2 linked regions of the Caenorhabditis elegans genome follow. The protein of the gene in region 2 interacts with the protein of the main gene of each other region in a pairwise test. Each region holds a gene or a part of one and is shown on either strand. Other genes may lie near its edges.

What was found.
Region 1: the proteins of F10G8.8 (region 2) and shn-1 interact in a two-hybrid assay, tested with the Caenorhabditis elegans proteins (one large-scale study listed by BioGRID).

What each region holds. Positions count from the first base shown.
Region 1 is NC_003280.10:11,384,818-11,392,730, forward strand, and holds the start of shn-1 (Protein shank), read right to left. Parts: upstream 6,048-7,913; 5' UTR 5,968-6,047; coding exon 5,908-5,967; intron 5,801-5,907; coding exon 5,531-5,800; intron 5,272-5,530; coding exon 5,170-5,271; intron 5,100-5,169; coding exon 4,511-5,099; intron 4,465-4,510; coding exon 4,123-4,464; intron 4,066-4,122; coding exon 3,793-4,065; intron 3,536-3,792; coding exon 3,446-3,535; intron 3,286-3,445; coding exon 2,963-3,285; intron 2,921-2,962; exon of another isoform or gene 2,900-2,920; intron 2,726-2,899; coding exon 1,884-2,725; intron 1,400-1,883; coding exon 1,252-1,399; intron 1,115-1,251; coding exon 961-1,114; intron 338-960; coding exon 108-337; 3' UTR 1-107. UniProt on the Caenorhabditis elegans protein: Scaffold protein that most likely acts in the postsynaptic density (PSD) of excitatory synapses which orchestrates synapse formation and maintenance at neuromuscular junctions.
Region 2 is NC_003279.8:10,058,851-10,063,949, forward strand, and holds the start of F10G8.8 (PH domain-containing protein), read right to left. Parts: upstream 3,177-5,099; 5' UTR 3,139-3,176; coding exon 3,031-3,138; intron 1-3,030.

The sequences.
Region 1 (7,913 bases), on a different chromosome or scaffold from region 2:
TGGGTTTCACTATCAAAAACAAATGAAACAATATTATATACAAATATATAAAGCCAGCTACGCGGGAGAAAATCGAGAAAGTAGAAATGAGGGGGGAAAATCATAAATCACTGGAGGAGGCCACGGAGAGCTGATTCAATTATCTGGCGATGAGCAATTCGGGTGACACCGAGCTGTGTAAATCGAGACCGATCGCACTGGCGAAGGCATCGGCCATTGATTCGTTGACTTCGAAATGCTGGTGTATATTCAGAGAGGTGTAGTGATGAGAGCCAACCGATGACGTCATCCACCGACCAGACATCTACCTTCTTGTGTTCGAATGATATTTCACTACCTGCAAAGAGAGGAAATTTGGTAATTTGTTGAAACTTAAAGGAATGAGCCCCAAAATCTAACAGATAATGATTTGAATTAACAATTTTTTCTTTTACAAAATATCCAAAAAAGAAGTTTCCTTCAAACATATTTCAAACTAGAAATGTTAACAGATAAACTGAAGCAAACAATTCAAAAATGAAGAGTTACACTGAAACAGAACAAACGAAATTAAGTAAATTAAAAAACCAAATCAAATTGTTTTTTTAATATTTAGAAAACTAAATATTTTGACAAAAATACTATTATAGTATAAATATTTTTACAAGTTTACAAGTATTTTTACAAGAATACAAGCGTAAACAAATAAACTAGATAATTCTCAAAACTGCTCTAAACATTTATAATGATTTGAATTGAGAATTTGCTAAAAAAAATGTATCCCGAGAACACAACCAGAGCATTCCAAAAACCCCATGTTAACCAAAACTAGACCCCAGACAGATTTCATTCTCCCCTTTCCTCTTAGATTCATAAATTAATCTCCAAAATTTGTGAGAACATAAATTAAGTGAGTGTGCAAAAAGAGTAAAACTAATGGTGATGTCAAATGAAAAACAAGTTGGAAGAAGAATCTCTTACAGCGAATCTCTCCATCGCTATCGCCTGTTCCAGAATCCGGATCATCATCATAATCGACAGGTGGAATGACATGAGATGGTACCACGAAGCATCCAGGTTTCGTTAGATCAACTGTTGATGATGATGACGCAGTTGACGACGAGGCAACAGACATCTGAATTGCAGGTTTTAGGTTAGAAATTGGGCACAAACCACACATGAACAAATTAAACATTCTTTCACACCATCTTTTTTTTGGGGTTAAGAAAAATGTTATATTGAGAAATCAGTGCAGGGAAAAATGGGTCTTACATTGTCCTTCTGTCCGTAATTATCCTCGAGATGCTGAGAGATCAGTGTCACTCTTTGAACATTTGGAGAGTGATCAAGTGAGAAATGGGGTCGATGATCTTTTTCTTCCGATTCAGATGGTTCCAGTGACGTTCGAGAAGATGTGTACCTGAAAAGAGAGGATTTATTTAAGTTGTATGTAAGCTTCAAGATTGAAGATGTTGAGCTACGGAAGTTCGAGAAAGCAGTTAGCAGTTACCGTGTTTTCTCTATTAATATTGTACTTCGATTGTTCAACTTTACCAGCTTATATCTCAGTTTTCGGTTGTTCTACACAAAAATTGTCAACTGACTAAATATTTTCTGATACTTTTTCTATAGTTTCATAGTTGAACATTTAATGATATCTTCTAAATGAACTGAGATATAACTGTTCAAAGTGAAATAGTGGGAATATGGTTAAAGGTACTATGAAAGTAGGCAAGAGACACGAATAGACGCCAAAAGTCTCAGAATGTTTTGAACTACATTCTGACAGACTTTTTTAAATGTTCCAAAAATTAGCAGTTAGAAATAGCCAATTAGCAAAAATCGGACACAACCAATAATTATGCAACCAACGAGCATTTTTCAAATGAAATAAACTCACTTACCCACTGTCCTTCTTATTAACTATTCCAATGTTCTGAATTCCTTTTCCACGTTCTACAACATTTTCCCGAACAGTTTCTCGAAGTGATAATCCTTCGAATCGACTTTCTCTCTCCTCATCCTCATCGACATCGTGAGCTACTTTACTCCGCCTCTTTGCCAACGCATTCTTCAAATCCATTTGAAAATCTGTCGTGGAGTTGTTGTTATTATTGTTATTATTACTGACAGAAGCCGCCGATGTTTCTCGTGGTTCTGCTTTTTTTAATTGAACTGATTTCAAGGCATCTGCTGATATTCCTTTTGAATTGCTCATCAAAACCGGAGCACTCGCAGCCACATGCATCAAACCTCCCGGAGGAGGTGGTGGAGGTGGTGGCGGAGCTCCAGATGAGATTGGAGGCAATGGAGGAGGTGGAGGAGGTACTGAAGATGTTGATGGAGGTGTGAACTCAACATGTACCATCGTTGGCTCGCAGTGTGGCGGAGGAGGTGGTGGAGGCGGTGGTGGAATCGATGACTGCTGCTGCTGAATTGGTTGAGGTGTTGAAGCTGATCTTGGAAGAGATGGATGTTGTTGTTGATATTGGTGGTTCTGATGATTCTGATGTTGCATCGGTGGAGGAGGTGGTGGAGTTTTCGGCCTTGACGTTGGTCGGAACGGCCTAGAATATTCACTCCGCTGCATTGAAGAATCTCTCTGCAAATCCGGAGAGATATACGACGCCGGTGGTGGAGCTGGCATCTCATCTTCATCGTCAAATGAATCAAATGAGTCCATTCGAGATAGTTGAGGTGTGCTTCGACTGCTACAGTTGTACTCGAATGTGCTAGTTGTGGGAGCCTGAAAAATTCTACTTTCTCAGTGTGCTCGCTGTTGGGAATTTTGCTCTGAATTGCTCCAAATGACATGATATTTAACAAACAAAAAAGAAAACATTTAAGAAAATCGGGTTAATTTTTTAAATTTTTTTCTGTTTCAAAATGTTTTTTAACTTTGGCATTTTGGCATCTTTAATCTAGTTTCTCCGTAATTTAGAGCAAATAAATATTCCGATTCCCACATTTTTCTAAAACTCACCGCTTGCTCGAAAGTCGACCTATTCAATCCGGCAGATGAAGCCACCACATTCCGTTGACCTTTCCTCCTCTTCATGTCAGAAACCGAATTATACTTCTTTGACGAATAACCCCCATTCAACGACTCCTGATCATATTGCATTTGATATGGTGAACCTTGCACCGACGGTACCCGCTGTCGAACCATCAAATTCTCCAATTCCGCTGCGGATATCCTCCTCCCGCTACCCGGCCTTTGCCTGACTGACGCGTGACGTGATTCCGAGTAGGCGTTCCTGATTTCATTTGGGGCATAGTAATCAACTCCATGCGCATCATGCGTGTCTGAAAATAAAATGACTATGCTACACGAGACCGAGAACAAATCTATAGAACAGATAACACATAATTAGAAAGCTGATCTCTATGTAAATTCTAGATTAACGTGAACAGTGAATTAGAAAGTTAGAAAAATAAAGTAAAAATAAAACAAAAAAATTCGAACCAAATCTCATCCGATAAACACTGGACGCTTTTGTAGACGAGTAGATTGCTGACGGCGTGGGTGTAAAAACCAAAGAGTGACGAGATGATGCTGGAAGTGAATGTGAGTGAATGGTGACGGTGCACGGATTAGAAAACAATTTGTACTTGAACAAAGACTACACAAAACTAAAAGCGTGCGAATATGAACGACGATACGTTGAAATTATCATTGAGATTTGGGATGATAAGTTCAAGCTTACACTTCAAGCCGAGTTTGTGCAATATCAAGATCATCAAGATACTTAACTCCCAATATGAACTTCTTTCAACCCAAATCTCAACAACACTCTATTCAACTTTCTTTACCTGTTGGCGGTCGATGCACAATAGTTCCTCCCCTACTCATATCAGCTACATCGACTGTTATCACTTTCAGTGTAATCGTGTCACCGGCTTGCTGAATGAATTCGACGACTTCATCGTGTGAACACCTTCGCACATCGATTCCATCAATTTCCAGCAAGTAATCTCCTGGCCTTAATCCCGCGCGAACCGCCATTCCGGACATGTCGACACCTTCAAAAAATTGAAGAGCCGGCACTTGAGCAGTTGGCTCGAAGTTCAATGGCATGGCGACATCTGAAACAAGAACTATGAGAAAATTATTGAGCAGTTACATAAGAAAAAGGAATTTACGTTTAGCTCCTCTCAAAATGAAACCGAATCCCTTGACACCACGTGGAATCACCAGAATCCGAGCGATATTTGTCTCGTGTCCAGCTGCAATCATTCCACCACCACGCATCGAATCCATTCCAGACCGTCGCATCGTACCGTACTCTGATGGGGTGATGGTAGTACGGGAGGATCGAGACGGGCTTGGCGATGGAGCTGCAGACATTGGACCTTTTCGTACACTTTGGGGAGTACGGTAGACATCCTGGCTGCATATTGAGGATTGGGACATCGAACGTCGGCGAGTGATGGTTGAGCTGAGGCGTCGGCGAGTTGAGTATTGAGGAGTGCCGCGATATGGTACTGGAATTTAGATTTTTCAGAGAAGTTAAAAAAATGACTCTCTTACCTGAAGATTTAGGATTATGTGCTTGAACGACATCAGCCACACCAGGATTTCCGACAATATGCGAAACATGTAACGCAGTTTGTCCTTGCTTGTTCACAGCTAGATGATCAGCTCCCCGAAACAGCAGTACTCTTGCACATTCTGGCCTATTGTTCACTGCACAGACATGAAGAGGACTATTCCCATTTACATTTTCAGCATCGATCTGACCACCGAAATAGAGTAAGTGTTCCACATGTTTCGTTAACCCATTCTTGCATGCTTGATGAATCTCGTGGTTTCCGTGCATATCGGTCACACCGATGTCGGCGGCTTCTCGTAGAAGAATCTCAGCGACTTGATCATTCGAATCTGCTGTCAACATATTATAGTAGAGCGGTGTAAGTCCAATTGGATCACGATAGTTTGGGCTTGCTCCAAGTTCGATCAAGGTTTTTACATTCTCGAAGGAAGATAGAAATGCGGCTTTGTGCATTGCAGTTTGGCCTTCTGAATTGCGAAAATCCACGTGTGCTCCGCCACCAATAAGGGATACAATTACAGCTCGATTGTTCGGGATTCCAGCAGCCAGCGTTAATGGGGTTTCTCCCTGAAATTTTGTGAAAATTAAAATAATTTCAAGATGCCCGGCAATCCTAGAAACATCCACAAAAACTCACCTGAGCATCATGAAAATTTGCATCAAGTCCCTGCGAACACATCTTTTCCACTTTCTCGTTATTCTTCTGCTGAACGTAGTCCATAAACTTTTTGAGTTGGCCCTGCAAAACGAGAACGATAAGTATCTGAATTGAGAGGTGCGCGCGAACACAAATATTATTAGTTTGTGAAGAAAGGGGGAAAGATATGCATCTGATGGAATATGACGCATAAAACACCTTGTAATTATACAAGGTTTTTGTCAGTTTTCGATCAACATGTTGGATCGGAAGGAATTGAATAATAAGATGGGATTAGAACTAGAACATTTAGAACCTGGGAGGTTTTGGCATTGAAAGTTGAAAGAGAAGTAATCCCTACCTTCGTGTGCATTGCCTTCAGCTGCTTCTCGTCAAGATTGAGCATCTTATAGACTCGTTTCTTATACTTCAACTCGAGATACGGAACACAATCAGTGAACGGATAGTCACGAATGGTCCGATCCTCGAGAAGAAACTTTCCGGCTCGTCCATCGCATGGAGGAAGGAAGAGCCCGTAGTTGAAAGCTTGCGGAAGAGCTTGCGGAAGGGTGGCCAATAACTTGCGTTTCACATCCCAGATGAAATCGTTTTGGGTCACCGCAAGGAACTTCTGAAATTGAGAAATTGTAGAAGGATTATGGAACACCTAGATAAAACATTTTGAAATTCTATGGTAAGTTCTGCAAATAGTCACAATTTTATTTTGCAATTGCTCACCCGAACGTTAAGCTCCGGAACGAAGATCTGCAAATTAACGGTGTCCTCCTCTTGATTCATCGTGAATGCTTCCGCTCGGACGCCTTTGCTTCCGATGATGACACTAGCGCATCAATATGTCTCCGGACTTGTACAACACTGTTAGAATGAAGTTACCACTATTAGCTAATCGAACAGAAAGAAATGCAGAGGAAATAGAGAAATTAGAAAAAAGAAGAGAAGAAAGGCGATAACTTTGATGTATTTACTATTGATGTCAATTGGTGGGACATGGATCACAAAGGGGGACAGGCAACATTTTGCGCATGTAGGAGGTGCTGATCATGGGTAATAAAATTGAACATAAGGTCGGGTTGGTCGGGACAAAAAAAACGATGGAAACTCTGGGTAGAGATAGGTAGGTAAATGGTTTTTTGACAGATAGGTTTTTTTGTAAAATTTCTAGTTCTTGGTTGCCTTGGTTTAAAAGTTCGAGCTAGGGCGATGACGGGCGATTGTGGGCGAAAAGCCAGCAACAGGCTGCCTTCACACATGCCTATGTGCCTGCCTATTTGCCTATATTCCTATACGCCTACGTGTCTGTTTGAAAAACGAAGAAATCGTAGAAGTCACAAAAAGTGTTGCCAAATACAATAGCGTCGAGTTTTAAAATCTGCACTTTATTGAAATTAAAAAGTCTAATAATCAAACCTATAAAGTTTTAGAACATTTTCAAACTCGAATCTATCAATGTTTCCGCATCTAAAATTCAAGATCCACAAGTACTATGCAAACTTGAAAAGATGATGGAATTCTCAAAAGACTTATAGGTTTTGCCATTCGAAAAGAACACTCGTAATGGAATTGAGGAAGCGAACAGAGGAGAGAGAGCGCGACTCTTTTCTCCGTACTGTCGGAATAATGTGAGAGATAGCATTGAAGATGTGGAGACGCAAACTGTCTATAAGAGAGGCGGAAACTGGCTTCACTTCTTGGAAGGATGAGGAGAAGAAGCTTGTGAGGAGAAGAGGAAAACTGACAGAGAGAGAGAGAGAGAGAGAGAGAGAGAGAGAGAGAGAGAGACAAAAAGTAAGAAAACGAACAGTGAATGCACGAAGTAGTAGTATTGAATGAAGACGTAGCTGTGACAAAGAGGTAATTAAGTATGTACTCAAATAGTTTGTATGTTAAAGGAAAAAAATGTAACATTGTCCTCAAAGTGTCTGAAAGTTCAATGTGAATGTTGAAGCGGTGTTTGAAACACATAGGAGAAGGGTACATATTAAAAATATGAAATTGCACCACATTACTTAACTTTAAAAAATTATATCTTGGTGTATTTTAATGATATCAATAAATTATCGAATACAAACGATAGAAAAAAAATTGCAAATATTTCGTTAGTTAACAATTTTTGATTAAAACAAACGGCAACTGAGATATAAGATGCTAAAGTTGAACAAAAAAGTGGAATGAGAAAATATGGTACTCAACTTTGACAGCTTGTAACTCGGTCGTCTCTTAAAATTAAAAAAAAACTTTTTAGTTACGTAAACATGAATTTAACAATTTGTTCGTTAACAAGTCGCGAATTAAATGGAGAAACTAGAACAATTTTCTCTGAATTTCATCTCCAAATGGTTTTAAAGCACCTCGAAAAATGCGATAAAACTACACAAATCTCGTTTCCAATTTCAAGTGATAAACGAGATGATAAGACATATGGAGATTAAGGTAGTCAAAGTAGATGATCCGTACAGCTTATTGCAGGTAGGCTTAAAGGTAGTGAACAAGAATTATCTAGGGAGAGAAAGAGAGACGTCTGGATGAAAGGAAGGTGACTATTGTAAGCTGACTCTTACAATTGAGTCAGAGACATGTTTCCGCCGGAGTTTACGACCTTGGACACAAAGTTCCAGAATCAAGGTAGTAGGGAGGAAACTGGGGGAGGTAGGGATGGGTATTGTAAAAAAATATATTAGTCATTTTGTGGTGTCAAATCAAATATTTACTTTTTGATTCCCCCC
Region 2 (5,099 bases):
AATCTTCCGGTATTGGAATCTTTTGGTTACGGAAAAGATAAAAAAAATCGTCGAACATTAAGAAAAGTGCTCCATCGGATTCTCATTTCGTGTTAAAAAAAACAAATGCATATTGAAAGCATAAAGCAACAAAATGTGATTTTTAAAAGAATTGAAGAATTGAAAACATTTGTTTCGTCTTCAAAAAAGCTCTTCCTTTACAAAAACTATGTATAATGATATTATTGAAAATACTTTCTTCTATCCATCTGAAAAAATCCGTGCGCCTTTAAGTAAAAGTTTTTTTTCAAAATCCAAGTTTTGAAAATCCAAATGTCATGGGTGCAAGTTAGACCTAGAAACAACAAAAAACAATTCTAGAAGCAGAAAAGGAACTAATTGGAGGATGGATTCTACTCTCTTTCTCCCAGTCATTACCTACATCCATCTAGATGAACGATAGAGCATGAGAAAATAAGAGAAAATGAGAAAAAGAGTGAGTGGTAAGATGTTGAAAACAAGGATGAATGGAAGGTAGAAAGCAGGTCATTGAATGAATGTAGAAAGTGAACACGAACACGATATATCGAGACGAATGAAGATACTTTAATGTGTGAGTGGGTGTTCAAAACTTGGATACAAGCCAAGTCGGGTATAAACAGATAAAATGATGCGCAATCAAATGATAAGAAGAAGGAGATGATGGTCAGAGAAGAAGCATGATTGGAAGTGGTGGGCATAATAATAATAATAAGTGGAAGATGATAGAAGATTGGATTAAAATTTATAAATTGGAGGATGGCCAATGGTGCATTAGGCAATCTGTCTAGAATTTCGTGTTTATGTTTTTCAGGAAAAAACGAAATTGCTCAAGTTTATAAGATTGCGATTTTTATGGTACTTTTAGATAAATGTTTATAGAAAATAGAAAATTAACAGGGAACTATCAATTCTGTGGTAGGCATACATATCTTTCAATTACGTAGAAGTTTATTTCCAGAAATTCTAAAATTAACTTACGAACTTATTTATTAAATGCGTCATTTTGAATCCAAAACTTATACACTCAATTTTTTATTCCCTAAAAAATCAGAGCCTCAGGTTCAGTTAAAAAACATTGATGATGTTATAATATTTGAAAAAAATCAAAACTCAGTGCTCACTTAGACCAGCTAAAAATAGTGACTTTTACTAAATGACACAAAAAATATCTCGGAATATTTTTTGGCATTCACAAAATGTCAAGTGGAATTCATCTTTTTGTCCCATAATTGTTTGAAGCAAAAATCGTGTGTGTCGGTATTAGAAATAAAACTTGAGCCAATTAATAGGGTCACTGTAGAGAAAAACTACCAAAAAAATAAGAAAAATGCAAGGATGGATGAAATGGAAGAGGAATAGTGAAGGATAGTGTCACTGCTGAATAAATAAACAAGAGGAAGGAAAAAGAAGGGAAGAATCAATGCTTTCTGGTTGAATGTCTCTGGACGACCCAAAAGTGCGCACTTTTATGAAATGGAATACTATTGAAATAGTAAGAGAGTTTAGAGATAGAAAGGATAATTGCTCAGAAGAGAGACGAACGTCTTCCAATGAAAAAACAAAATGTATTGGGATTGGATAAGAAAAAGAAATGGGCCGAAGTGTGATTGCAGAAAAATAACTGATGCGAAACGAAATGAGACACAAAAAAGAATGAAAGTGGAACCGATTGGTGAAACTAAGACTATATGTTCAGGTATCTATTACCAGCTTAGAGGTATTGGCTGAAAATTTTATTCCAAAACAATCAAAGCTTCAAAGGTGGAGAAGCGGCAATGGGGAAGATGATTCAAATCACCTCTGTGGTGCTAAAAAAGCCCAAAATTAGTTTATTTACAGCTTCCGCCTATCAGCATTTCGAAAGTCAACCGGAAAAGGTTTTTTTGCAAATATTTTAATTTTGTTTCCATTGTTCGGATTAAAATATTATTCAAGTTCAAACGTGCGAACCTTAAAGTTTTTTTTTTCAATTTTTGGAAATTTCTAAAACTTTCAATTTGCTAAAAATTTAAAAAAAAATTTTAAAAAGCTAAAAAATTTTGGAGTGTTCAATTATAATTTATTCTAATATTTTGTTGGAACTTTTGAAGTGTCAAACTGAAAATTGTGTACCCTTAGAAATGGAAAATGCAATCAAAAAAGTTGAGAACTGATCAAATAAATAATTAAACTCAAAAGTTTAGAATTAAATAAATAATGCTCTTTTTCAAATCAGATACTTCAAAAAACCTTAAAATGAAGAGAAAAGCATTCCAAAAAATAATCAACTATGCATTTTTATATCATTTCCGATTGCAAAATGGACTTGTTATCAATAAAAAAGTAAATGATAAATAGTATTAGAAATTGAGAGACACAGAAAGAAGAACATGTCTTTTTCAGTATACTCTTTTTCAAATACTACTGATTTCATTTCATATCAATAAACTATACCTTATGTAAACACCAAAATATTGAATTTTGTAAAAAAACTGTAGTGCTTTTTTCAATCTTCGTCTTTCTACAACATTAAAATGCAAATGGAGACGGGAAAACAGAAAAAAAAGCTTTTCTTACAATTAATTATTAGTTTTAAGATTCGCAGAAATTCGGGGCACAGCGTTTGGGAAGATGCCAATTATTTTTGGTAGTTTAGTAGAATACCGTACTCTGTTTGATATTCTAATATTTTAAAGTGAAATTTAGAATCAAAATATTATTTTTAAAAAACTAACGAATTTATATTAATTTAATTTTGAAGTTAAAAAAGTGTTGGCATTTTCATGGAAGTTTCGAACTACCAAAAATTGGAAATTTTTGAATTAGAATTAAAAGTATTTTCGAATAAATCTTTTAAAAAATAGTTGCTATTTTCGAACAAAATTTACTGAAAAATATTGGAAATTCATGTTTAAAAACTCATTTAAACACCTGATTGAAGCTGAATTTTAGGCCAAATCATACTGATTTATAAAGTCATAAACGTTATTTTTTCAAATAAAAATCAACTAAAAATCAAACAAAAATTACCTTTGCATTTTCAATTGATTCTGATGAATGATTCTGTTTGGATTTATAGCAAATCTTGCATTTTCCATTATTGAAAATATTTGCTTCAAACCGCTTACAGTCGTTCATTTTATATATTTATTCTAGTTTCCTGTCATGGATGTGGTCTGAAATTTACATTTTTGTTATTGACTTTGTTTGAGTGTTAAAACGGAAAGGAAGAAAATAAAGAAACATGTGGGAAAATATTGAAAAGTTGAGAAAACAAACTTGAATTTTCAATAGAAATATTTTAAAAGAGTCATTGGTCAGCTAAGACTTTTTGAAATAGAGTAGTTCACATTATGAGATATGCTTTTCCTCAGTTTATAGATTTCTTCTCCCTTTCTGACCGCAATTTAGTGTTCAATTGGTGTCCCGTGTCCCCGTGTCCAGTCGAGCCGTTTCACTCTCACTGACGAAAGATTTACGAGCCACTTTTACTATTTTATTGAGAAACTGGGAAAATATGGAACTTAAATGACCAGGTGAAAGAGTATTCAGAAAATATTAGTATCATTTTTTTCTTGAAATTTTTGGTAATGTACTTTGGGGAAGTAGGATGATGAGAGTGTGAAATTGTGTAAATTAAAACTTCTAAAATTTGTCTTTTTCATTGAAAAATTTTTTTTTGCAATTTCTACAATAAAAATCCTGATTTTGAAACAATATTCCGCGGAAAATAAATGTTTCGAAGTGAAACCGATTTAGGACCAATTAAAAAATTCTGCAAAATGTATCATCATTCCAAAAAGTTTAATTATATAAAAAAAAATCCAACAAAACTGTGTTGCTTTACAGTAATCATTTTGCCCAGCAATTTGAAATTAATTCAGTTACTAAAAAAAGTTTAGAATTTAAATGAAATTTCTGAAAGAAAACAACATTTTTAAATTGTTTCATAGTCATAGTCGATCATTTGAATTTAATTTATTATTTTTAACAACATGTTTTTGATAAAAATAACTTTTAAAAAGTTCCTCGCAGGTTACTGTAGTTGTAGCGAAAGCATTTTATATTTTTTGAAACTAAATGAATTTTTTGAGTTTTAAATTTTATTACTTCTCGTTTCAATGAATTGGATCTGATAAAAATTACCAAGACAGAAAAAAAACGGTTCTCGAAAAATGAGAAAAAGGGTAAGTGATTGGTTTGAGAGAAACAACTGATAACAAAACCAATTGTTTTCTTATCAGTTTTATCGATATTTCTTTTCATTAACAAAAAAGCTAATAATTGTTTCTTGGCCAACCGGAAAGAAGAAAAGGCTACAGAAACATGGAAATAATCAAAAAATTGAAAAACAGTAGGAAGAGAGAAAAAACGTATTTTTCGTTCGTTTCTTTATGAGGAACACAAGAAAGAAGAGGAGGAGGGTAGTAGTGGGGGGACCCCGAAACAATTAAAGATAGTAGTGATAAGAAGAGAGTGAGAGACACAGATATCAAACAGGCGTTCTTTCTTTCTCTCTCGGACCCCGGGACATGAACACGGAAAACGGAAAAGTGGGAATAGAGGGAAGTTGGTAGAAGAAGTGCAAGGACCAGTTGGTGATAAGAAAGTGTCATGTGATTGAACCATTTGGGTTTTGAAACTTTTTTTGACGAGGCTTCATAATAAATGTCAAATTTCCCAAACATTGTCAGAACTGAGAATCTAATTTTTTTTTAATGAAAATAGCATAATCAAACCCCAAACAATCAAGTAACTTGCCCTGGGAAGATGACTCTCAACCAAAACAGCTTCCACACAAGTACTCACATTCATTGGTGATAAAGAAACCTCGTGAGGCTGTTTTTATGTTTCGTAACATGAAAACTCCAATGTCTGAGAAATCAAAAACAATGCAAGAAAATGGAATAAAAATTGATGAGTCACGATCAGGAATCGGTAATTCAGAAAGAATGACTGATTTGGTAGAATAAAAGGAACAAAGATATCAAATTGGATGCGATTGACTTTTTTAGGGCGAACAAATGGGAGTTCATGATGTGGTGGTCAGGGATAATTAGGTTATTTAACTGATTGATTTGTTTTTTAGTTTTACATTT